Linked DNA regions of Mus musculus. The main gene of each other region encodes a partner of the protein of the gene in region 2 in a complex. Links are inferred from orthologs where the notes say so. Each region holds a gene or a part of one and is shown on either strand. Other genes may lie near its edges.

Region 1 (5,630 bases), on a different chromosome or scaffold from region 2:
CCTCCTTCTTGTCATTTATCCCATGACTTCTTTGACAGTGCCAGGATTGAGCCTAGGTCCAGATGCACACAAGGCAAGTGTTGTAACCACTGAACTCTACAGCCCAGAGCCCCTCAGTGACTCATAGCAGCTCCATGATGCCTTAGCATAGACCTGTCACCCGCTAGCTATGTGCCAGCCTCTGAGCACCTAACATTCCAGTAGCAGACGCCACTGTCTGCGTGTCTGCTCCGAGCCTTTCTAAGGGACTCCTTCCTGAGAGCCAAAAAGGACAAGCATCCTGTCCTCTAGCCTTTAATGAAGCTGTATCTCATGAAGCTACGTTGTCCCTTGGTACTGAGATGTCATTTGAAAGGCTCAGAGGGTGCCTGTTACCTCAGCTGCTTAGGAGACTGAGGCAGGCAGATGAAAAGTTCAAGGTGAGCCTTGGCCACTTCTTAACTTGACCCTGTATGACAGTAAAAAAGTAAATTGAGGGATATGGATATAATTCAGTGGTAGAGCCCCTGCCTAGAATCCCCCAGTGAGGGGCTGGGGTGTGGCTCAGTGGTAGAGCCCCTGCCTAGACTCCCCCAGTGAGGGGCTGGGGGCGTGGCTCAGTGGTAGAGCTCCTGCCTAGAATCCCTCAGTGAGGGGCTGGGGGCGTGGCTCAGTGGTAGAGCCCCTCCCTAGACTCCCCCAGTGAGGGGCTGGGGGCGTGGCTCAGTGGTAGAGCTCCTGCCTAGACTTCCCCAGTGAGGGGCTGGGGGTGTGGCTCAGTGGTAGAGCCCCTGCCTAGAATCCCCCAGTGAGGGGCTGGGGGCGTGGCTCAGTGGTTGACCGGCTGTCTAGATTCCCTCCTTGAGCACTTGCCAGCATTTCTGAAGCCATTTGTTGAGGAAAACGACACAGACTCTGGTGTATGGTTTCTGGGAGCTCAGAGCCTCCGTGTGCTGGTGAGGCCCATCTGTGTTGCCTCTAGTTGTCTGCTCTGAGCGTGGCCTCTGCTCTCATCCCTCTCTAACCCAGCCTCCCCCCACCCCACCCCCTGTGTGGTCAGTTCTGCCCACAGTGCTGCTGGACGAGATTGAAGCCGCTGAGCTGGAGGGCAATGACGACAGGATCGAGGGAGTGCTGTGCGGGGCAGTGAAGCAGCTGAAGGTGACGCGGGCCAAGCCTGACAGCACGCTCTACCTGAGCCTCATGTACCTGGCCAAGATCAAGCCCAACATCTTTGCCACAGAGGGTGTCATCGAGGTGAAACTGACCACCTCCCCTGTTCACTCCGCCCTCCCTAGACCTGCCGCTGTCTCTGTGGCATGGGCCGTATCGTGACAACTGTAACTTTCCTTTCCTTTCAGGCCCTGTGCAGCCTCTTGCGGAGGGACGCCTCTGTCAACTTCAAGGCCAAAGGGAACAGCCTCGTGTCTGTACTGGCCTGCAACCTTCTCATGGCCGCGTACGAGGAGGACGAGAACTGGCCTGAGATCTTCGTGAAGGTGAGTCCTCTCCAGGGTCTCAGAGCAGAGCGCAGAGGGAAGGTGGGTGCTGGAGAGGGACGCGAATGGAGGCTCCCAGTGAGCTGTCCTTCCTTTAAGGGCTTTGATGAAGGCCTCTTGCATGCCCACTCTGGGGACCCATCCAGCCTCAGGCAGGGTCCAAACCTGATTCACCGTAGGTATACATTGAAGACTCGCTGGGCGAGCGGATCTGGGTAGACAGCCCTCACTGCCGCACCTTCGTGGACAACATCCAGACAGCCTTCAACACCAAGATGCCCCCAAAGAGCGTCCTGCTGCAGGGGGAGGGGGCACGCAGTGGTGGTGAGCTTGGTGCAGGTAAGAGATGCCGAGGTGTCTGTGAGGTTGGGCCAAGGGCACCATCCTCCACTTCCCTGGGAGGAGGCACCCATTAGCTCCCGTGGTCCCTGCAGGCAGCAGCCCCCACCCCTCACTCACAGAGGAGGAGGACAGTCAGACGGAGCTGCTGATTGCCGAGGAGAAACTGAGTCCTGAGCAGGAGGGGCAGCTCATGCCAAGGTAGGTGGGCCGACAGCTTCAGTCTCAGAGGGCCAGAGGGAGGGCACGGGAGCTGGCATCCTTCCTGGCCTCCTTCCCCCCCTCTGGCCTAGGTACGATGAACTCACAGAGAGCGTGGAAGAATATGTCCTGGACATGCTGCGTGACCAGCTGAACCGGCGCCAGCCCATCGACAACGTGTCCAGGAACCTCCTGCGGCTGCTCACGGCCACCTGTGGCTACAAGGAGGTACGGTTGCTGGCTGTGCAGCGGCTGGAGATGTGGCTGCAGAACCCCAAGGTACGCTGTGTTGGTGAAAGAGTTTGTGTTGGGGGGGTTCTCCTTGGGGGTTCCGGGCGGTTGTGCTTGCGTGCTCAGTGGTCTTCCTGGCTTCCCCGCAGTTGACCAGGCCAGCGCAGGACCTGTTGATGTCTGTGTGCATGAACTGCAACTCCCATGGGTCAGAAGACATGGATGTCATCTCTCACCTGATCAAGATCCGCCTCAAGCCCAAGGTGCTCCTCAACCACTATATGCTCTGCATCAGGTACGCGGTCAGCCGGGGCGTCAGGCAGTGAGGCAGGCCGGTGGGCAGCCGGGGCAGCCTGTCCCGTCCCCCTCACCGGCTTGCCTCTTGGTGTCCAGGGAACTGCTGAACGCGCACAAGGACAACCTGGGTACCACTATCAAGTTTGTGATCTTCAATGAGCTCTCGAATGCTCGAAACCCCAACAACATGCAGATCCTGTACACAGTGCTGCAGCACAGCTCTGAGCTGGCACCCAAGGTGGGGTACTCAGTGAGGGACAGGCCCCTGGGCTTGCGTGAGCCTCACAGGGAGAAACTCGTGGCTCTGGGCGGGAAGGTCCATTGGCTTCTGGTTTCTGAACCATCCTTGTGAGCTAACACTGTGCAGCATGTCCGACTTCCCCAGCTCCAGCATGGTGTAGCCTCCTTAGTTGGGGTTTTTCTAAGCCAAGCTGGCATCTCCACAGCCCTCCAGCCCTGGCCTGGGGTCCTGGCTTGTGGATACCAGGTCTGGCATCTCTCCATACCCAAGAAACACTCCTGTCCTTAACAAGGAGCCGGGCTGTTACATTAGGCTCTGCGTTAGCTTCTGGCCACACCCAGCGGTTGCCCTCTCAGCTCCGTGTTTTAAGAGAGCTGGGTAGTTGCAGACCCAGGAGGTAGCCCAGGTGGGTGGGGTAGAGTGGGCCGAGGTATCTGGCAGTGTCATTGCCGGCATCTCCATTCCTGAGCTTGCCAGTTAACCTTTACCCTGGTCAGAAGAGGACTGGCTCCCCTCCCGCCAACTGTCAGGGAGGTGAGATACAACACGGCCTCCGTCCTAAGAGTTCACATCCATGAAGGGGAGACGGCCCCCTCCTCTCGGGATGTGCTCCCAAGATGTGCTGCGGGACCTTGCCCAATCCTACCGCGTTAGCTGCTTAGTATTTGGGAGGACTCTTCTCCTGGGGAAGGCTTTCTGCAGGTCCCGAGTGAGGTCCTGGCAAGGTGTTGGGGGGGTGGGGTATGGCATAAGCATGCACCTGGATGGCCATTGACCCCAGCTCCCTGTGGCTTCCCTCCTCCTCAGTTCCTAGCCATGGTGTTCCAGGACCTGCTGACCAACAAGGATGACTACCTCCGCGCCTCTAGGGCCCTGCTGCGGGAGATCATCAAGCAGACCAAGCACGAGATCAACTTCCAAGCCTTCTGCCTGGGGCTCATGCAGGAGCGCAAGGAGCCGCAGTACCTGGAGATGGAATTTAAGGTGCCTTGCGACCCTGCTCACCACCTCCCACGCTGCCGTTTCCTGACACTGAGAGGCTTGCCTTGTCATAGGGATGGCCAACGTGCCAGGCTTGTGTGCAGCCATGGGCTCGGTGGTCCACACACCCAAGTGTGAAGCCACTCAGTGTTGCTCCATCCCTCGTAAGGACGGGGCGGGGCTGACCAAGCTAGGGAGCTGGTGACCCCAGCATGGGTGTGGACACTGCAGCTGGCAGGACTGAGGATTAACTTGGGGAGATGGACAGAGCACCCCAGTAAAGGGTCTGATTGACTCGGGGTGCAGAGCAAGAGATGGGAGGGAGTTTCGCTGAGCAGAATGAGGCAGGAAGGCTGAGGACCTCTAAGGCACTGGAGCAGGATGGCAGTCCTCTGTTGTGACAGCCTGCCATTGGGGACAGGATTTTCTCTGTTGGCTGAGTCCCCTCCCAGTAGCCTAATCAGGACCTGGCTCATCCTGGACCCAGAGGCCTGCTTCTGTCAGCTCTTCTCCCAGCATGGTGGTCTCTAGATGTGGGGGCAAACTCTTAAGTAGTTTGTGTGTCTGTTGTGCATACACATGCACGCGTCCCTATGCCACATGGGACCTTTGGGAAGGGCCCTCAGTCACGCCAGCCTTGCCACCCATATGCCCACAGGAGCGGTTTGTGGTTCACATCACGGATGTGCTAGCTGTGTCCATGATGCTGGGCATTACAGCCCAGGTGAAGGAGGCTGGAGTCGCCTGGGACAAAGGAGAGAAGAGAAGTAAGGCCCTGCTGGCTGGGGGCACTGTCAGCCGTGGACGTAAAACCAGGCCTCGAGTAATTGCACGTCCCTGGAAACCGAGGGCAGGGTGGGGGTGTGAGTGGGGGTCCCGGCATGGCTGCCGGAGGAGGTGGGTTTTCTAGAAGCAGCGGTCCCCTCCTGCCGTCTGGTTGAGAGGGTCATCTGTGCTTGGAGCGTGTTCACTCACTCAGGCATCCTGTTGGTTGTTGGGTGGGAGCAGGGGTGGTCTCCAGAGTGGCTCAGCCTGCTGGAGTCCACGGCTGCGGGGCATCAGGAGCCTGTTCACTCCCTAGACCTCGAGGTGCTCCGGACGTTCCAGAACCAGATTGCGGCTATCCAGCGGGATGCGGTGTGGTGGCTTCACACTGTCGTCCCCTCCGTCAGCAAACTCGCCCCCAAGGATTATGTGCATTGGTAAGAGGCAGACCGTCTCTCAGCCTCGCTGTGTCACCTGTGTGGGTACACTTCAGGTGGGAGCCATCACCTCCAAGGCAATCATTGTCCGCATGCCTTTAGAGCCCCAACACCGGTTGATGACAGAAGGAAGGGTCCTGAGCCTGAGAGCCACACGTGAGCCACCTCTCCTCACAGAGGCCCAACCGACCCCTCTCTTGGTCACTAGTGGCCACTGTGGGCAGGTGGCTCAGGAGTCGGGGGGGGGGGGGAAGCCCCAGTACTTTTCCATCAGTAGCTTTTGCCCAAATGGTCCCTGTGCAGCGCTGCTAGGGTGAAGACTCCTTGCACAGCTGCATCCTGACTGACACCTGCTCTGTCCCTGCAGCCTCCACAAGGTGCTCTTCACCGAGCAGCCCGAGACCTACTACAAGTGGGACAACTGGCCACCCGAGAGCGACCGCAAGTGAGGGTTGGGGTGGGCAGGCAGCCAGAGTGCAGCCTGTGGGCACATGCATAGCAGATGCTGGGCGGGTAGCCCCACCCTGAAAACCCAGTACTGTTCTTCTCCTGCAGTGGTGTCTGCCTCACACTCCTGCCCCTTCCCTGGACACACCCCCAGGGAACTCCTCTCCGCTCCCACTCTGTCCTTCCTGGACTGACCCTGTCCCTTCCAACCCA
Region 2 (6,193 bases):
TATTTTCTTTACCTCAGATGAACATGGCTCAAAATTGAATCTCTAACATGTATACATCTCATATATTCATTTTTTAATGGTGCTTGGTTGTAACAGGACTAAAAAAAATTTCCAAGTATCACCACACAGGGTTAGAATACAGCTCAATTGCAAAGCAACAGAACACCGGGAATGAGACCCTTTGTTCAAGCCTCAGCACCACAAAGAAATAGAGTAAGTATAACTACACAATAGAAGGTGTACTGGCTAGTTTTGTGTCAACTTGACACAGCTGGAGTTATCACAGAGAAAGGAGCTTCAGGGGAAGTGCCTCCATGAGATCCAACTGTAAGGCATTTTCTCAATTAGTGATCAAGGGGGAAAGGCCCCTTGTGGGTGGGACCATCTCTGGGCTGGTAGTCTTGGTTCTATAAGAGAGCAGGCTGAGCAAGCCAGGGGAAGCAAGCCAGTAAAGAACATCCCTCCATGGCCTCTGCATGAGCTCCTGCTTCCTGACCTGCTTGAGTTCCAGTCTTGACTTCCTTGGTGATGAACAGCAGTATGGAAGTGTAAGCTAAATAAACCCTTTCCTCCCCAATTTGCTTCTTGGTCATGATGTTTGTGCAGGAATAGAAACCCTGACTAAGACAGAAGGCAACCCACAACCCACAGCTTAATAAACAGTTAATAAAGGTCACTTCACATTTGGAAGGCAGAAATGGCAATTTCTGACATAATTACTAAGTATCCTCCCACAAAACTTCAGAAATCACTGCTAATAAACATGCTGACATATAATGCAGACTGCACATGAGAAAATACTAGTTTAAAACAATAAGAAATGAGACTATTTAATAATTCCCATTGTAAATCATAAGACAACAGCTCACAGTCATACATAAAAGTAAGGCCATGGTTTCAATAAGTGGATTTCTGTTTAGTTTATCTGACCTTGTCCATCAGGGTCACCAACCAAACTGCAGAGTCCATGCTCCCTAATTCAGCTTCAATGTGGTAAACTAGTTGCTGAATCTAGATTCTATATAACCTTAAAGGTTCACTTACCAATGCTGTCAGACTAAATGTAGTCTGGTAATAAATATCCTCAGGAAAAAAAAGTCTGAATCCATAGGGCCATGTTTCTACTACTCTTAAAACCACCAGTAATGACATGGCGTCAGCCGCCTAGTGCACACCCAACCCAGTGGCTAAGGCCATTCATTCTCTCAGAGGGGCTGTGCTGAGTCCTCACTCCCTAACACCAGTTACATTCCTGCACACATGGGCAGTACAACAGTGGTCTTCACAGGGAGAATTAAGATGGTGGAACTGGGTGGATGGTAACAACGCTAGGAAATCCTAGTGTGTGGATTCTGTCCTGACTCTCACCCAGTTCTCAAGAGTTGAATCAGCACTCCACGATCAGGCTTTTCCTACAGCATTAGGTTCACCAGCTTCCACTCATGTGCAGCAAGAAAGGGAATGAGTCACCTTCCCCACTCCCACCCATCCTCTCAAAGCCAGGTGTGCACAGAGCCATCAGGTTGAGTGATGTCACTAAACCTTTCTCTCTGCAGGAAGGGGATCTTGCCTGTTTTCATCTGGACAACTTCCAATCACTGGAGGGGCAAATACTTGGTCTGATGATAATAATCTACATTAGGAAAAGCTACACTTATTAGAGTAATATGTGGGACTCAGCCTTTAGCAATGTGTCACACTACTGTTCCCGGCTGATACAATGTGTCTTGTTGAGCTTAGGGCTTATCTGTAAAACACTCAACAGCCCCCACTTATTTCTTACACATATGTGTTTTAATTTCAACTCTTCTTATTAAAAAGGTTGTACTATTACTTTCATTACAACTGTAACCTTTTCTTTCAAAGAGCTTCACTTTTAATTATGTGTATGTAGGGGGAGGGAGAGATGGGTGTATAACAGACCCTCTAGAGTTACAGGCAGTTGTGAGGTTTGGGGTGTGAGTGCTGAGAACTGAACTCTGGTCCCACAAAACAGCAGTGTGGCCTCTTAAAGGCTAAGTCATCCCTACAGCCGCAGCATCTTTTTTTTTTTTTTAATGTAAACCTTATTTCATTGTTATTGTATGTATGTGTGCACATGTGTGTGACTGTCAGGCTTGCACAGGAAGTGTTTCACACAGTAAACCATCACACTGGCTCACAACACTTAGAAGGTAACTCTGGATGTCCTTCCTTTCCTTGCTCCATATCCTTACCCTGCTCTACAACACTATCTACTCTTAGCCTGGGACAAGATTAGCTACGCTAGAGCCATACACATTTCGGTGGGAAGGGAGTTGGCACTGAATAAAACAGTGTAATGGGCCACATCAGGTCTAGGACTTGGGAGGCTGAGGATCAAAAGTTGAGAGTTATCCTTGGCTTTAGGGAGTACAGGCCAACCTGGATGTCACAGACTTTAGTAAAACGTAAAAAACTCTTACCTGTAACTGGTTTCAAACTTGGACAAGGAACTAAGGTGCATATTTAACATGCCAAAGTCTAATTGACCTCCAGGTTCTCTCAGCATCCCCCAGTCCCTACTTGGCACACCCTGCCCCCCAGACTTGAACTTACAGATCCTTGGTTTCCAGTCCCGTTCTCTACAGGTTACACACTGGCTACAGTTAACCAAGAATTGCCTATAGTGTAAAAACCTTGGCAGGAAACTGAAGCAAAGGTCTCACATTTACACAGGACTTCTTTATGGATAGCTATCTGTCAAAGTCCCTCTTCAGCCTTTAATAAAGGCATCTTTTCGCATACCACTGCCATTTAACATTTACAACAGCTGACATACTGTGCCCACTTTGCTGACATATCGAGGCTAGATGATAATGCCGCATTCCATAATCACTTTAGTAGAACTGGAATTTAACTCCTAACCCTAAAATTTTTTCTCTTAGCTACCTGTATAAGGGGAACTAACTCGTGGAACTTGTGTGCAGAGAATGAGCGCGTTCAGCCAAGCTTTTCGGATGTTCTCATCCACATGGAACCTGCTTTAGAACGCGCAATTGACAGTCTCGCAAGACAAATCGCTGTAAAACGCTCAGAAAATCATTTGGCTCTCTTAATGAAGGCTTCACCTGCACTGAACGTTTTAAAAAATAATCTCAAAATTCAGCACTTTATCTTATTTGCTGCCTGGGAAACCAGAGACTGTGCCCCCAAGTGGTCAAAGGCATCCTCGCAAGCACGAGCCTCTGCTCCAACTGTGCAAGGCTACTCCAGCAACCCTGCATGCGCCTAAGCGCTGGCTCCAAGACTAGCAGCCGTGCTTCCCGCCCCATACATCGGCGCATGCGCCTTTCTAGCCTCTGTAGCTGCCGCCACTAGGTGGCGCCACTCCCCCCAGACGCTTCGCCCGCGTCCCTCCTCCGTACCTTTGTCCAGTTCCATAAGAGCGGAATTAGCGTCCAGCTCCTGTTCGCCATAGCCGGCATCGGCCAGGAACGACTTGGTTGAGTTTGACGCCATGACCCGGACAGTTACCCGACTCGCCCAGTCACAAAGATTGCAAACTCTACCCCAGCACCGCCATCTTCTCCCGCCGCGGTCTCGCGGATTTTTCCCTCCGCGCGCTGTCAGGCAGTGTACGCATGCGCCTCGGTCGCCCCGCGGTTCGCCAGTTCCTCTCTGGGCCCCCCCGCGCAGGCGCTCAGGGAGCCTGTGAACCTTGGGTTCCCGCGGCTGAGCGAGAGGGAGGCGGAGCTTAGGATGGGGGCGAGCCTTCGAGGCGCCAGGACGCTGCGACGAGAGCCAATCAGAAAGCGTGACGTCAGTTTGGCGCGGAGTTTGGCGGCCGGGGCTCTTAGTGGCGGGAGTTGGAGGCGAAACCGCGCCGCGTTGTGGAGGGTGCAGACGGCGGCTCCTGTGGAACTTGGGGGCGATCTTCTCGGCGTTCCCCTCAGCTGAGCCTTCTCCTCAGGCCCAGATGCTCTTCAACTCGGTACTCCGCCAGCCGCAGCTCGGCGTCCTGAGGAACGGTGAGTAACGGCCCCAACGGCCGCTGGCCGTGGCGGGAACCACCTCCCCCCAGGCGCTCCACCTTGGATCGCTGCCGACTGTGGGCCTCCAGGTCTCCCGCGGCCGGAGCGAATCCGGGCGAGCGAGGACCGCCGAAGAACATCGTGCTTGGGTTCCTTCCGGACGCTTTTCACCGTAATCGAGCTTTTTAGTTCGGAACGGAGGCCGAAGTTAGGACGCTCAGTGGCGTCCCGGGCCCCTGGCTGCTTACGTCAATATCGCGCGTTAACTAGAGAGTGCACGCTTGTGAGAGTCGGGGGTGGGAGACGCTTTGGCACCAGCGATGTGCCTGCCGTCTCTGCAGAACCTTAGCGATCCCTGCAAGTTCGTTGTGCACCAGCGCGCATGGCCCGCAGTTAAGGAACTCAATCTTAAGGCGCCAAAGTCCCCTCCCCCATCTCTGCAGGCTCTGAAAAGTCCTAAAATACAGACTAAAAGATGCCCATAGCCACACCCACGAGGTGACCACGGGTAATGGATGGAAGGGTATTGTTCCAAATGTGTCTTGATGCCGAGGTACTTCCAGAAATGGGATTAAACTCGTTTTTCTCTTCACGGTGGAATTCAGCCATGTTCTCCTGTTAGCATATAGAAAGCCAGCTCATCTCCTACAGTACTCTTAAAAACATTGGCAATCTGAGATGCGATTAGGCTGATGTGTTGTTAAACTAAGACCTTGAAGAGTGGTCCTAAGAATGTTGAGAAGAGGAAAAGCTCCTTGAGGTCCTGCCCGGATCTAAAACTTTGTAGTCGTATTCCCTCTGTGGATACTCTTGTAGTTACATTCTGCCTCTTTCTCTGCTCGAACTTTACAAAAGTTACTTCGCCCTGTGTTAGGAATGGCCGCCCTGCACAATGGTTGTGAGCGGTCTTCGGAGCGTCTGAGTTTCAACTCCACCTCTTTTCCTATGTGCTACATTTTCTGTCTACCCACTTTTCAGTCTGTCGTTCCGGCTTACAGATAGCCAGACAGACGTTCAGTGATAGGCACTGGCATTCATTGATTGTTACCTCCTGAAGTCTGCATCTCTTTTCCCCTCCGGTGTTGCTGGGCCTTAAATGATTATAGCCGTAAGTAAGGATTCTACTGCTGCTACACTCTTCCATTCCCTATGTTTTGGGTTAATTTCTGTAAAAGCTGTATGTATTGAACTTAATCTAGACAGTTAGGCATACAAGCATCTTATATTCTAATGCCCCAAACTGAGTTGGCTTCTTCCCAATTTTTGGGAGTGACATTATTTTAAACTGGTGTCCCCAGCTAAAACTTAGACTCCATATTCCTCATTATGACATTTTCAAAAGAAAAAAAAGAAATCCCTTAAGTCTGCTTGAATCTCTTTTTCCATCCCCACAGATTCAGCCTCTTTACCTCAAACTGAGTCTTCCATTTTCTCTATTCCATCCCCACCATTGGGCCTGATACTTTACTCCCTGATCATAACAAGCCTCTAAATGTGCCTTTAGTTTCCTTTCTCTACCGATATTTGTAAGATGGAAATATAATTACTTTTGTGAGTTTTTAAATCCATATCTAAGAATTTTTACTATAAACTTTAAACATGCAAAATTATAATTTTTAGCCTTATAGTGAGTTAGCATCTTAAGATAAATACTATTTTAGCCTTTTAAATACATCTGACACTATAAACAACTATACCAACGTGGAAGTCGTGGTCTCTGTTTTTGAAAAGGTGAGCAAATGCTTACTGTTCGATGTTTTATATGGTTGCTTTTTCTTCTGAATATTTCTATCTTAATTCTCCGCAAATTTATCCTATTGTAATTTAAAAGTTCTTGTCACCCTGTCATGCCCCATCAAAAAGCATATAAAGTGCTGTTTTCTGTGGTTTTAGTACCCAGTAGTCACAAAGGTTTCCCTTAGGATGAATTATCACCACAGTTAATTAATAGTGGGCAGTTGTTAGAAACTAAGTAACTTCTTAAAATGTTTTAAGAAAAAAGCAAAATTTTTATTGAAAGTGCATCTTTTAAAGAAATGGATTTAGGTATCTGGTGCCTTGTGGTCTCAAATTGTCTCATAGTTAGGACCTCACTAGTTTTCTATTTGGGGTTTTGTGTGTGTGTGTGTGTGTGTTTATTTATTTAGCACATGCCTTTAATCCCAGCACTTGGGAGGCAGAGGCAGGCGGATTTCTGAGTT
Region 3 (5,630 bases), on a different chromosome or scaffold from region 2:
TAGAAGAATTTCCTGAAATAACCGTGGATGGCTAAAAAAAAATAAAAAATATAAGTCTTACATTAGAGCCAAATATAATCAACACCTGTATGTCTTTGAATATAAATGCTTACTTGTATATAAAGAAGTAATGCATGGACAATATGGACAACAAAACAAAATTAGGTTCTTATGAAGCTGAATTGGGAAACACATGGGCGTTTCTGTAGTCAGGGAGACTGCTACACAACTTGCAGTTCCTGAATGCCACACTGTTTTAATGACTCCAGAGAAAATACATGAAATTCTTTTTGGGAACTGCCCTAAGATTCAGTCACAAACGACAGAAGAGAATCAGATTTAGTTCTTCAAGTCACTTTTCTTACCACCCAAAGTTTCACCTAGCTCATGACACTTTTAAATCCAATCTACTTTAATTTAAAAAAAAACAACCAAACCAAAAAAAACTGTTTACACACAAGACACTCAGGAGAAAATACCTAAGACAAAGATTCAATCATTGATAGATGTGTTAAAGGAAATGTCTATATAGAAGTTCTACACTCACTTAAAATAATCAAGTTGCCACAAAAATTTCAACATCTATTCTACTATAAAATATCCTCAGATGTGTAAACTGAGGATACATTAAAAAGAACTCATAAAAGCAGTTTTGCAGTGTGTTTCCATTGAAACTATAGTAATAGACCCCAACTTTCACATAGTAGACTTTGCATCTGCCTCTTGGGTGGCACAGGCATTTTGGGGAGGTTTGACACACTCCTGGCTCACGTGTCAACTCTAACATTTCGGCTTCTCTGATCAACTTCCTACACAGACAGACAAGAGGCCCTAAGCATTGCTGATTGCTGTTGTAAGCATATAGGGTGACTTCTGTCCACTCACAGTCTGTCTACCTTCTTCACACTGAGACAAGCTCACAAAAGCATTCAAAGGGGAAGTCAGATATAGGACTGTCTGTATTTAAAGAGAAAAATACATAAAGTATAAAAATAGTGATGTAGTATCTAGAATATCTATTTGTATTTTAGAATTGAGCTCTTATGAAATAGTAGGCAAGACTTCTTTAGCTCTTACAAAGTTGCCTTCAACATAGCCTGTATATGACTACTTTTAAGCACCAGAAAAAGCAATCAAAATAAGAGTGCTTTGGGGTTTTTATTGATACGAAAAGTTGAAACTTTTGTTCACATGTCCTGAAAAGCCACATTTTTATAATAGCATTATATAATTATCTCATGATATCCTGATTAGGAAAAACATCTTACAAAACATAAATTCCTGGGACACACACTGCTGGTGACAGAAAATGAAAGCAAAGAACACAGTGTGGCAAACTTAATTTTCAGTTTGAAAAATCCATTTTTCTCCTTTCCCTTCTATAAGACATGAAACTATCTGCTCCACCAAAGAGAACTTATTTAAAGTGACTAAGAGACCAGTGGTCAATGAAGGATGGACAGGAAAGCAAGGTGGCTGTGCTGAGCACCTGACTCTAATGACCGCTGTGGCCTGGGCTGCTCCACAGTGACAGATGGTGTAGAGCACAACCAGGATGCACAGACATGAAGCACTACAACCTTGGGAACCTAGCACCACCTCACACTTCAGTGTAGAAAGTAAATTCTGATATAAATGCTCCCCTCCTATCTAATTAATTATTAGTGTTCTTCACTTCCAACATCAGACACATAATAAAGTTTCTCATCAAAGTTTTATGAGAGCCTACCCTTCAGTCAGCCACACTGAGGTTTAACGCGGATGAAAACAAACACTTTACCTTAACTTCGGTTCTCTTGAATGCTAGGAAGGTTGTCTCTTGTTTAAGTTTGGTTTCTGGCTTCTTGACTAATGGATCCTTGACAGTTGGAGTCACAGAAACAACAGTGGGCGCTGGTTTCTGTGGTGGCTTCTGAGTTTTCTGAGCCTATGAAAAACAGGTGGATAATTATACATAAAAATTTTTATTAAATAACAAAATTAAAAATGCATTAAAAACTATAAACATTGAACGTTAACAATAGTTCTAAAAATATTGTGATGATATTGAAATATCAAAAGAAATCAACATATAGTTTTACAGATTTCATTAGTTTCTGAAGAGTAATGATACCATCAATCATGCAAATTAGGGTTTGTTAAATATTATTTTAACAAGATAACCCTCCTGTTTTCAATAAAGGAAAATCCCAAACTATGGTACAGCTACTCTTTGTTACCCATGCAGGATGGGTTTCGGAACCCCTGACAAAAACCAAAATCTGTGGATGTTCAATTAAGTCCCTCAGATAATCAGCCTAGTATCTGGGCCTAGTGCCATCTGTCTCTAAGTACTCAGGAGGCGGAAGCAAGAAGACTAGGAGCATAGGGGCAGCCTGGGCTCTAAAAGGAGTACGAAGGCCTGCCTGATTTCTACATTAAGGCCTTGTCTTAAAGACTTATGGGAGGTAGAAGAACCTGAATCTCTGTCAATTCCAGGTCAGCCTGGTCTACCTAGTGAGTTCCAAAACAGCTAGGGATACAAATACAGACAAAAAACAAGTAAAACAAGTAAACAAACAAAAGAAACAAAACCCACTAAGGCCGGGGCTCACTGAGTAAAGAAGCTTCCATACAACCCTGGAGTCCCGAGTGTAATCCCTGAAACCCATGTAAAGGTGGAGGGATAGAACCAGCTCCAACAAACTCATTCTCTCTGGCTCTGTCTCGGTCCCAGTCTCTTTCTCTCTCTGTTTGTGTGTGACTCTCACAGCCTCCACCCTCAAACAAAGTACTCTGAAAGCTTGGGGGATACAGCTCAGCTGTAAAGCATACTTAGCATGTAAGGCCCTGGAGTTCCAGCTACAGCACTAGGGGGAAAATACTACATTTATAGAAGACCTCTGTAGACAGTAACTCATCTCTAGGTTTCTAAATCTAAATGCCATGCATTGAAATATTGAATATTGAAATAATAGCAGGGAAACCAGCCTGTCCTTGCTTTGTACTGATGCTTTAATGCCCTTATTCTACCAACAAATATTTTCAATGCAGAGTAGGTGGAATACATAGATGCTGAGTTCACAGAAAGTGGGAGACAATCATGGAATTAGCATCACTCCTTAAATAGTGCACGTCATTTCTTTTTATGGTTAGCCAAAGACTGAAGTAGTTTCTTCTTGAGGTTCAGTTGTAAGTTTTTAAGTTACTGAAGATGAGTTAAAAACAACTCTGGTAATTTACATGGTTTTAAACACTGAATTCAAAGGGAAGAATTATTCATGAATAATAACACATTTTGGAGGTTTTTTCATACAGGTGAATCAAATCCTTTGAAAAGTTTATAAATATAATTTCCATGTTATTCAGTAAGAATTTTATTTATTCCTCCTAAGCATTTTTATTTTGACCAATAACTGACTTTATTTTATGACAAAATGAATACTACCCAAGTCTCCCTATAAACGTGGATCCTCTTTCAGATTCTGAGTGTTTACTGCAGGACAGCCCTAGCTATGTAGCAGTACAGAGAAAGACTGAAACAGTGTTTAGTATCAAAGAGACCCAGGGCTGACCCCTGCTCATTCCTCCCCAGCTGTTACCTCAGGTGCAACACACATGCCTCCCTCCCTTCACCTGTGTGTTTATGAGGACGGATTGTAGTTATGTAAGAGCTTAAGCTAGGAGCTCATAATGTTAGGTGCTGACGATATAATTACTGTTACCTAGCATATGCAAGGACCTGGCTTTGACCGCCTGTACCTCAATAATATAAAAGTGAAACATAATTGCTGTGCTGGTTATTGTCAATTTGACACAACCTGCAGTCACTTGGGAACAGGGAACCTCAACTGAGAATTCCCAGATCAGAACAGCCTGTGCTAATGTCTATGAGAGCCTGTCTTGATTAATGATTGATATGGGAGGGCCCAGTCCAGGGTGGGCAGCACCATCCCTAAGCAAGAGGGCCTGATCTACATTGGAAAATCAGAACTGGAAAGGAAGCCGTGTGTGTGTGTGTGTGTGTGTGTGTGTGTGTGTGTGTCTGTGTGTGTGTGTGTGTGTGTGTGTGTCTGTGTGTGTGTGTGTTACAACTTTGCTTTGGAAGTAACTGAAGGCCACTGGGAAACATAAACAGATCAAGTGAAGTCACTCATCTAGATGAATAAATCTACACAATATAGTGGCAAAACAGCTGGAAGGGAAATGAAGAGACCTCTTACGGGCTACTGCAGAGCTAAGTCATAAGAGGCTTGCAGAACAGAGTGGTAAGACTGACGTGAGCAGAGGGAGGCATATAGGACGTGGACACAGTTAAGTTTAGCAAACAAAGCTATGAAGAACTATGAAAGATTTCAAGCATAACATCTAGCTCAGGCAACTGAGGGGAGGTCTAAAGAAAATCACTTTAACTTAAGGATATGACATTTAAAGGATCAGTATGGAGTCAGTTATAGAAGGCCACATATAAAGAGATTAAAATCATGTACATAGGTTGATGTAAGCTAACTTAAAAAATAAGAGAAGAAAACCTTGAGGAAATTTAGCTTTTAACTTTGGTTAATAAAAAGTGATGGAGAAATAATAATTTAAATATTTTGGAAACTTAGGTCTTTCACAAGTTATTTCTTTTAAAAATTATTCATTTTTTGTGGTTGTCCTGCTCTGGAATGTATCATACTGCTGTTGTGTGGCACACGCTTTTGAACTGCAACATTCCCTCCAAATTTGCAGGAAGAAGGGGAGACTCATGAGCCTCAGGAGGTAAACAAGTGGTCACGTGCTGGGGAGAACAGGAACTCTAGAGCCCACCCCTGCAGTATGAAAACAAGTTAACAGTTGCTAGGGATGACTGAGCACTCAAACTGCACAGACATGTTTGGACTGACTGTGCAACAGCCTTCAAGCTGTGTGGCAAGCTCCAGGAGACATCACCGTGTTGCTGTGCTATTTCTGGGGATGGAGCTGCTTGCATCAGCCCTCACCGTGACCTCACCAATGTTCCTCTTAGTAACCCCAATAAAAACCCTCATTTGGTCACCAATTGGACATTGGTACAATGACTACTTTGGTTTGCTGTGGACTCCATTTCTAGAGTGAATAGTCCTTGTGAGTTCAAGCATGTGTGTGCTGGTTATGTGCATGTATGTGTGCTCCATGGACTGAGGAAAAGTGTGTCATAACAACTGCTCATCTGAAATAATTTTGGTTGTAGTTTTGAAGAGCTAATTTCAATAGGAAACTAAAAAAAAAAAAAAAAATGTATAAGGAGGTAAGAATGGATCAACTCGCATTCTTCTACATGCAAACCACCAGTTGAGGCAGCACCATTTGGTCCCGTGAAGGCTCTATGCTCCAGTACAGGGGAATGTCAGGGCCAGGAAGTGGGAGTTTCCGGACGGGAAACCAGGAAAGGGGATAACATTTGAAATGTAAATAAAGAAAATATCTAATTTTTAAAAAGTGATTATAAAAAAACTAAAAAATTAAATATAGAGATTTCTTGTTACAAAGAAAAAGAATATATACTAATAAACTTTTACTATTTTTGACAGAATAAAACATTTCCTACTTCTGCTTTATCTAAGTAAACATAAAATGGACCTCCTGACTTTTACTTTAGTTGACAAATTGAGATCTTAAAAAAAAAT
Region 4 (5,630 bases), on a different chromosome or scaffold from region 2:
TACTAGCTCTTGGACACTAGCTGTGTCTGCATTTCAGGTTCAGGAGGGAGAAATCTGAGAGCTTAGTACTGTACCCTGAACAGTAGAGGGCAATGCAGAAGGGACCACAGGACCACTTGCAGATTAGTGACCCGCAAGTGACAGGAAAGTGCTTTCTGCTAAGAGATATGTCCTCCCCTCAGTTCTAGAATCTTCACGTAGGCACAACAGATAGGGACCTCCACCTTGCTGAGACTGCAGCTGCTGGAGTTCAGCTCTGTGAGTCTGTAATACCCGTCACCCCTCCCCCAAGATGCTGTGCCCCCCAAAGCTACAGCTACTGCAGTCCTGCACTCCTGAGGGCACTATGGCTCAGGAAGAGGCTCTGGGAATTTCCCTCTCCCCTAAAAAGAAAACAAACCCAACAAGCAAGCAAACAAAAGTGTCCTTATCTGGAGTTGGGGCTGATACTGGTAGAGCAGGGAGCAGGGGGCTTTTGCAGACTACAGCAGATGCCCCTGAGATCAGGAAGCACAGAGTAGTTTTGAGCAGACACAAGTAAGCAGCTGGGCCTGAGGGTGCTCCCCCCGGAACACTCTTCTAAGCAAGAAAGGGGGGAGGCAGGGAGCTGGAATGGAGTGATGTTGGTCCTGGCTTGGGGTTAGCAGGCCTAACTTGGCTCCACCACAATCCCTTGCTGAGTTACTCCACTCTAGAGCTAGCACTTGTTCAATTAAGCAACCGAATTCCTGTTAGGCAGCAAGTGCTTTGCAGGCCGCTGTACAAAGGGGGCTAGCAAAGCAAAGCAGGGAGTCTAAAGCCAGTGGGGACTCTGACCCTGACTGGGCTCCAGGTCACACTGGAATGGCCTTAATGACGCTTTCACACTTTCAGTCCCTTGCTGCTTTCAGACAGTGTCCAGCTGCCTAGAGGACTCCCGGTGTAGCTGAGGAGAATGGCAGTTGGCTAGGAGGAGGGCAGCGACTAACAGCGGGAGAGCTTAGAAAAGGAGGAAGACTTTTACTCTAGTTCTCTCCTTGGTAAACCATGATCGCTAAGTCTCTCTGAGGGAAGATCATACGTCCCCATCTTTCTCCTCTTTACACCCTTCCTTCTCCCTCTTCCCTAATGTTCCCCATGCCCTCTTGAGGAGCTGCCGCTGACACTGCTCCTCTCCTAGGCAGCCACACTCATTCTGTGGGTGCCAAGGACATTCCAAGCTGTGGTGCCTGCCTGGCTGCCCGGTCTCTGCATGGACACTGCAGCATGGGCTCACACACCACTTTCTTCTGCTTCTTTCTTCCTTCTTCCTTCCTTCCTTCCTTCCTTCCTTCCTTCCTTCCTTCCTTCCTTCCTTCCTTTCTTTCTTTCTTTCTTTCTTTCTTTCTTTCTTTCTTTCTTTCTTCCTCCTTCCTTCTTCTTTCTCCCTCCTCTCCTCCTCCTCCTTTTTTTTTTTTTTTTTTTTTTTCCAAGACAGGGTTTCTCTGTATATCCCTGGCTGTCCTGGAACTCATTCTGTAGACCAGGCTGGCCTAAAAATCAGAAATCCACCTGCCTCTGCCTCCCAAGTGCTGGGATTAAATGAGTGCGCCACCACTGCCCGGCTAACACCACTTCTTTGAAGCAGGGTTTCATGTTGCTGAGGCTGGCTTCAACTCACTATGTAGCTGAGGCTAGCTCTGAACTCTGGATTTTCCTTCCCTCAGGGTTCTAACTGCTGAGATTGCAAGCATACACTGCTACCCCTGCTCTCTTATTACTTCTTAGTTCTTGTTCTCTTTTCTGAAGATTTGCTTATTTTCATTTTATGTGTATGTGTGCTCAGCTTGCATGTCTGTCTGTGTAGCACATGTGCAGTGCACAGCCTGCAGAGGCTGAAGAGGGCCTACCATCCCTTGGGACTGGAGTTACAGACAACTGTGACCTGCCATGCAGGTCCTGGGAACTGAATCTGGGTCCTCTGGAGCAGTACTCAGAGCTCCTCCACTCCCTTTTTTAGTTTTGATAAATGTGTTTGCCCTGAGCGATGCTAACATTGGGGTAAAGTAGGTGAAAGGTGTCCGGGAACTCTATTGTCATTATGGTTTTCCGTAAATCTAAAATTATTCTAAGGTACAAAGTTTATTACTTAAACTGAAAGAAATCCAAGATAAAATTAAAAAAAAAGTATCAAACTGGGAAAAATGGCTAAAGTATGTTAACAAAAAGTTAATATCTTTAATATATACACAGAGTTCAAATATGTAATAGAGATATAAAACCTTTAAGAGGTAAATGGGCAAAAAAGGAATAATTTACATAAAAATATTTTGGCAAGTAGTATTAGATAATGAACATTAAAAATATTCCTACCCTTTATTCCAGTAATTCCACTTTTAGTAACTTACCTAAGGCAAATGCTATCATCATATATAGACAGAATAGTTTCAATTTAAGATTTATTCTTAAAAGGAAAAGCCCTGCCAGCCAATGAGAAGGTAATAAGCTAAGTATATAGATGTGAGTGATGTGAGGAGACAATACTGCAGCCACGTGCGCTGGCCGTGTGCTCATTGTATGCTGTGTGCTCCCTGTATGTTCACTGTGTGTTCACTGTGTGCTTACTGTATGCTCACTGTGTGCTCACTGTATGCTGTATGCTCACTGTATGCTCACTGTATGTTTACTGTGTGCTCACTGTGAGCTCAATGTGTGCTCACTGTGTGCTCAATGTGTGTTCACTGTATGCTCACTGTGTGCTCACTGTATGCTCACTGTGTGCTCACTGTGTGCTGTGTGCTCACTGTATGCTCACTGTGTGTTCACTGTGTGCTCACTGTATGTTTACTGTGTGCTCACTGTGAGCTCAATGTGTGCTCACTGTGTGCTCACTGTATGCTCACTGTGTGCTCACTGTATGCTCACTGTGTGTTCACTGTGTGCTCACTGTGAGCTTACTGTGTGCTCAGTACGTGCTGACTGTGTGCTCATTTTTTTCTTTCAAAGAAAGAAGAGACAAGGTATGGGCTGTAGCAGTCTGGCCTTGAACCTGTTCTCCTCCTGCCTCAGCTTCCCAAGTGCTGGGAAAACAAACATTTGCTGCTCTTCACAAGGTTTCATAATGGTTTAGTGTTATTGAATGTTTTCTGCTACATAAGCACTGCACTACTGAGCTGCAACCCCTTTAGGAAAACAAAATCAGAATTTAAAATTAAGAAGTGAAACTTGACAAGGTGATATCTAAAAAAATGTTAACTACTCAACATGATTTCTAGGTCAGATGGGGTTTATTTGGACAGTGGTGTTGTGGGCTCCAGGTCTCTATTATTTTCTATAACTTGTTTTTCTACATAACATGGCTTGCCCACTTATGAACTAACACACACCTGCAAAACAAACTCACAGAAAGACCCTGCAGGACTCCAATCCCTGTGCTGGGTGACGACCATTCTTGTAGGCACAGGCCTGATATGGTGGGGCACTGTCTACTCAGCCCACAGGGCGTGACCCAGGAGTGTGCTGCAGTATTTTTATTGGGGGTCTGAATGAAAACAAGTTTCTAACATGTTAACTTCATCTGCAAATGCTGCTTGGGGTCTCCTATGTGGGGAAGACACTTGTGTGTAAGGATAAAAACGAGTGAGAAGTAAAGACAAGGAGCAGTCCTATTGACCAAAGGGAGCAGAGTCAACTCAGGGAGACGCCCACAATTCAATGGGAAGGAAAAACCCACACACCAAAACCAGGAGAGGGGTGAGGGGCATAACACTGGGATATGTTATAACATGGTAATGTAAAAATTCCATTTTCAGGGAGGAACTTAGTAACTGCTGTGTGTCCATTTGGTCACCATACTACTAAAACTGATTGGACATATTCTATTCTGTGTCACATGGCTCTTAAGAATTTAGAAATTACATCTACCTCCACTTCCCTCTTTTGACCAGGGGAGTTAGACTCAAACTCTTCGAACATGGTCAAAGCTTAGTAACCTATGTCTAAGTGTCTGCTCTAGGAGTTGGTCAGCTTCTTGGTATAATAAAATGGATCTTTGATAAACTGGCTATGGAAATAAAGATCTAGCTTTTCTTATCAGATGTAGGTAATTACAACAGTATGAGCTTGGGGCTTTCTTATCCTTTCTTCGTACCTATGCTTCTAAATGCTAGCAATGTATGGGATTTGACTTTCAGTAGTTCACACACATGCACATGCATGAAGTCTTAAGTACTCTTAAGAAATCACAGTTATTTTCATTTTTACTGACTGAACATACTTAAGCAGAACTCAGAGAAAGGATACTACTGACTTACCACTCAGCAAAAATCTGGGAAAACTCGAGTGAACTGTTGGCAACGGGGGAGATGAAGTAGAAAGGGATGTTGGAGAGGCCAGCGGAGTCAATGTATTGATATAAGCACTCCAGGAGGTCATAGATCACGCCTGAAGGATAGCAAGGGACCAACACGTTTCCTCCATTCCGAACTGTCAGAGCTGGAAAAGTTGAGGAGAGAGAAGATGGTACCAAAAGAACAATGTTAGAAAGGACAAATACAACCTTTAAAATGACAATTACATTATTTCTCTTCTCCTGTGTATGATATGATTTATTTTTGAGACAGGGTCTTGCTATGTAGCTTTTGTAAGGTCAAGCTCAACCTGAGCTATGGGATGACTTCTGGCAGTTACATAAAGTTAGTATTTCTCAGAAACTTGTGAAACCACTCCCCATCAACCAAAAGGAGGCATTTCCCTGGCTCTGGCAGAAGGATTAAACAGCTACCCCTGGCTCCAGGTTGCTTCAGTATCCTAAGTATCCACTACACATTTCAAAATCCATGGGTGGTGCACTGCAGTGCTTCTCACTTCCTCCCCCTACTCTAAACATCCTCCAGTCAGACTTCCGTTTTGTGCCACCAGATTCATGTGTTTGAGTGCTTGGCCCATAAGAAGTGGTACTATTTAGGAGGCATGGCCTTGTTGGAAGAAGTTTGCTACTGTGGGGGTGAGCTTTTAAGGTCTTATATGCTCAGGCTTTGCCCAGTATGGAACAGTCTTTCCTTGCTGCCTGCAGATCAAAATGTAGAATTCTCAACTCTGTCTCTAGCACCATGTCTGCCTGCATGATGCCATGCTTCCCACCATGATAATGATAATGGACTGACTGAACCTCTGAAACTGTAAGCCAGTCCTAACTACTCAATCTCTTTATAACCCTACTATTCTGTGTTCTCTACCTCAACACTTCCACACACAAAACCTTTCTAACCTCAGCCTGTTCTTATGACCCCCACACTTTATAACTGTCTAATCTTTTGTAGAGAAGTGTACATTGGGCAATGCAAGATTGAAGGCTGATGTTCTCATCACTGTCTAACTGAATCCCCTGGTAGGTTTTAATGTCTCCAGTGAACCTGAGCTTTAGGCAACTCCTTCTCTCTAAATCCTATTTCAAATTTTCAGGATGTTTCTACTCAGTCTCTGACTGTGGCTGAGTGATTCAGAAGAAACAATCTGTTCCCTTTTAAGTCCTTTTCATCACACTTTCTGGCACTAGTATTTGTCTGTAAGAAACGATCTATTATCTGAAACACAGCCAGTTATGGAATGTGGAAATAATCACATTATGGGCTGTAATGTGTTAAAAGCATGAATGGCTGAAAAACTGTAAA

The links.
Region 1: the proteins of Ints7 (region 2) and Ints1 are in contact, whole or in part, in a cryo-EM structure (PDB 8RC4), measured with the Homo sapiens proteins. The link is inferred for Mus musculus from reciprocal best matches to the Homo sapiens genes INTS7 and INTS1. Residues at the interface, in NP_056249.1 of Homo sapiens: His150, Asp151, Leu187, Ala188, Thr189, Pro190, Val191, Lys194, Thr223, Ser224, Tyr225, Pro226, Ser227, Thr228, Asn262, Asp263, Pro264, Arg265, Lys266, Pro303, Tyr304, Gln349, Glu350, Cys352, Tyr353, His354, Asn355, Arg357, Ala360, Gln384; in NP_001073922.2 of Homo sapiens: Leu1378, Gln1381, Gln1382, Gly1385, Gln1386, Ala1389, His1429, Phe1430, Leu1431, Cys1433, Pro1434, Arg1437, Gln1438, Cys1440, Gln1441, Pro1476, Ala1479, Gln1480, Met1483, Leu1484, Gln1487, Arg1552, Pro1554, His1555, Leu1556, Glu1557, Glu1558, Pro1613, Ser1614, Gly1616.
Region 3: Ints7 (region 2) and Ints12 share a complex: the UniProt entries of both Homo sapiens proteins name them as parts of the integrator complex. The link is inferred for Mus musculus from reciprocal best matches to the Homo sapiens genes INTS7 and INTS12.
Region 4: Ints7 (region 2) and Ints9 share a complex: the UniProt entries of both Homo sapiens proteins name them as parts of the integrator complex. The link is inferred for Mus musculus from reciprocal best matches to the Homo sapiens genes INTS7 and INTS9.

What each region holds. Positions count from the first base shown.
Region 1 is NC_000071.6:139,768,204-139,773,833, reverse strand, and holds part of Ints1 (integrator complex subunit 1), read left to right. Parts: intron 1-1,039; coding exon 1,040-1,236; intron 1,237-1,340; coding exon 1,341-1,478; intron 1,479-1,657; coding exon 1,658-1,817; intron 1,818-1,912; coding exon 1,913-2,018; intron 2,019-2,104; coding exon 2,105-2,297; intron 2,298-2,398; coding exon 2,399-2,544; intron 2,545-2,642; coding exon 2,643-2,784; intron 2,785-3,594; coding exon 3,595-3,771; intron 3,772-4,426; coding exon 4,427-4,535; intron 4,536-4,849; coding exon 4,850-4,970; intron 4,971-5,337; coding exon 5,338-5,415; intron 5,416-5,630. UniProt on the Homo sapiens protein: Component of the integrator complex, a multiprotein complex that terminates RNA polymerase II (Pol II) transcription in the promoter-proximal region of genes.
Region 2 is NC_000067.6:191,573,145-191,579,337, reverse strand, and holds the start of Ints7 (integrator complex subunit 7), read right to left. Parts: upstream 3,703-6,193; 5' UTR 3,481-3,702; coding exon 3,387-3,480; intron 1-3,386. Other genes in the region: Dtl (denticleless protein homolog), read left to right, coding at 3,938-3,989. UniProt on the Homo sapiens protein: Component of the integrator complex, a multiprotein complex that terminates RNA polymerase II (Pol II) transcription in the promoter-proximal region of genes.
Region 3 is NC_000069.6:133,103,236-133,108,865, reverse strand, and holds part of Ints12 (integrator complex subunit 12), read right to left. Parts: intron 1,928-5,630; coding exon 1,781-1,927; intron 32-1,780; coding exon 1-31. UniProt on the Homo sapiens protein: Component of the integrator complex, a multiprotein complex that terminates RNA polymerase II (Pol II) transcription in the promoter-proximal region of genes.
Region 4 is NC_000080.6:65,019,138-65,024,767, reverse strand, and holds part of Ints9 (integrator complex subunit 9), read right to left. Parts: intron 4,453-5,630; coding exon 4,272-4,452; intron 1-4,271. UniProt on the Homo sapiens protein: Component of the integrator complex, a multiprotein complex that terminates RNA polymerase II (Pol II) transcription in the promoter-proximal region of genes.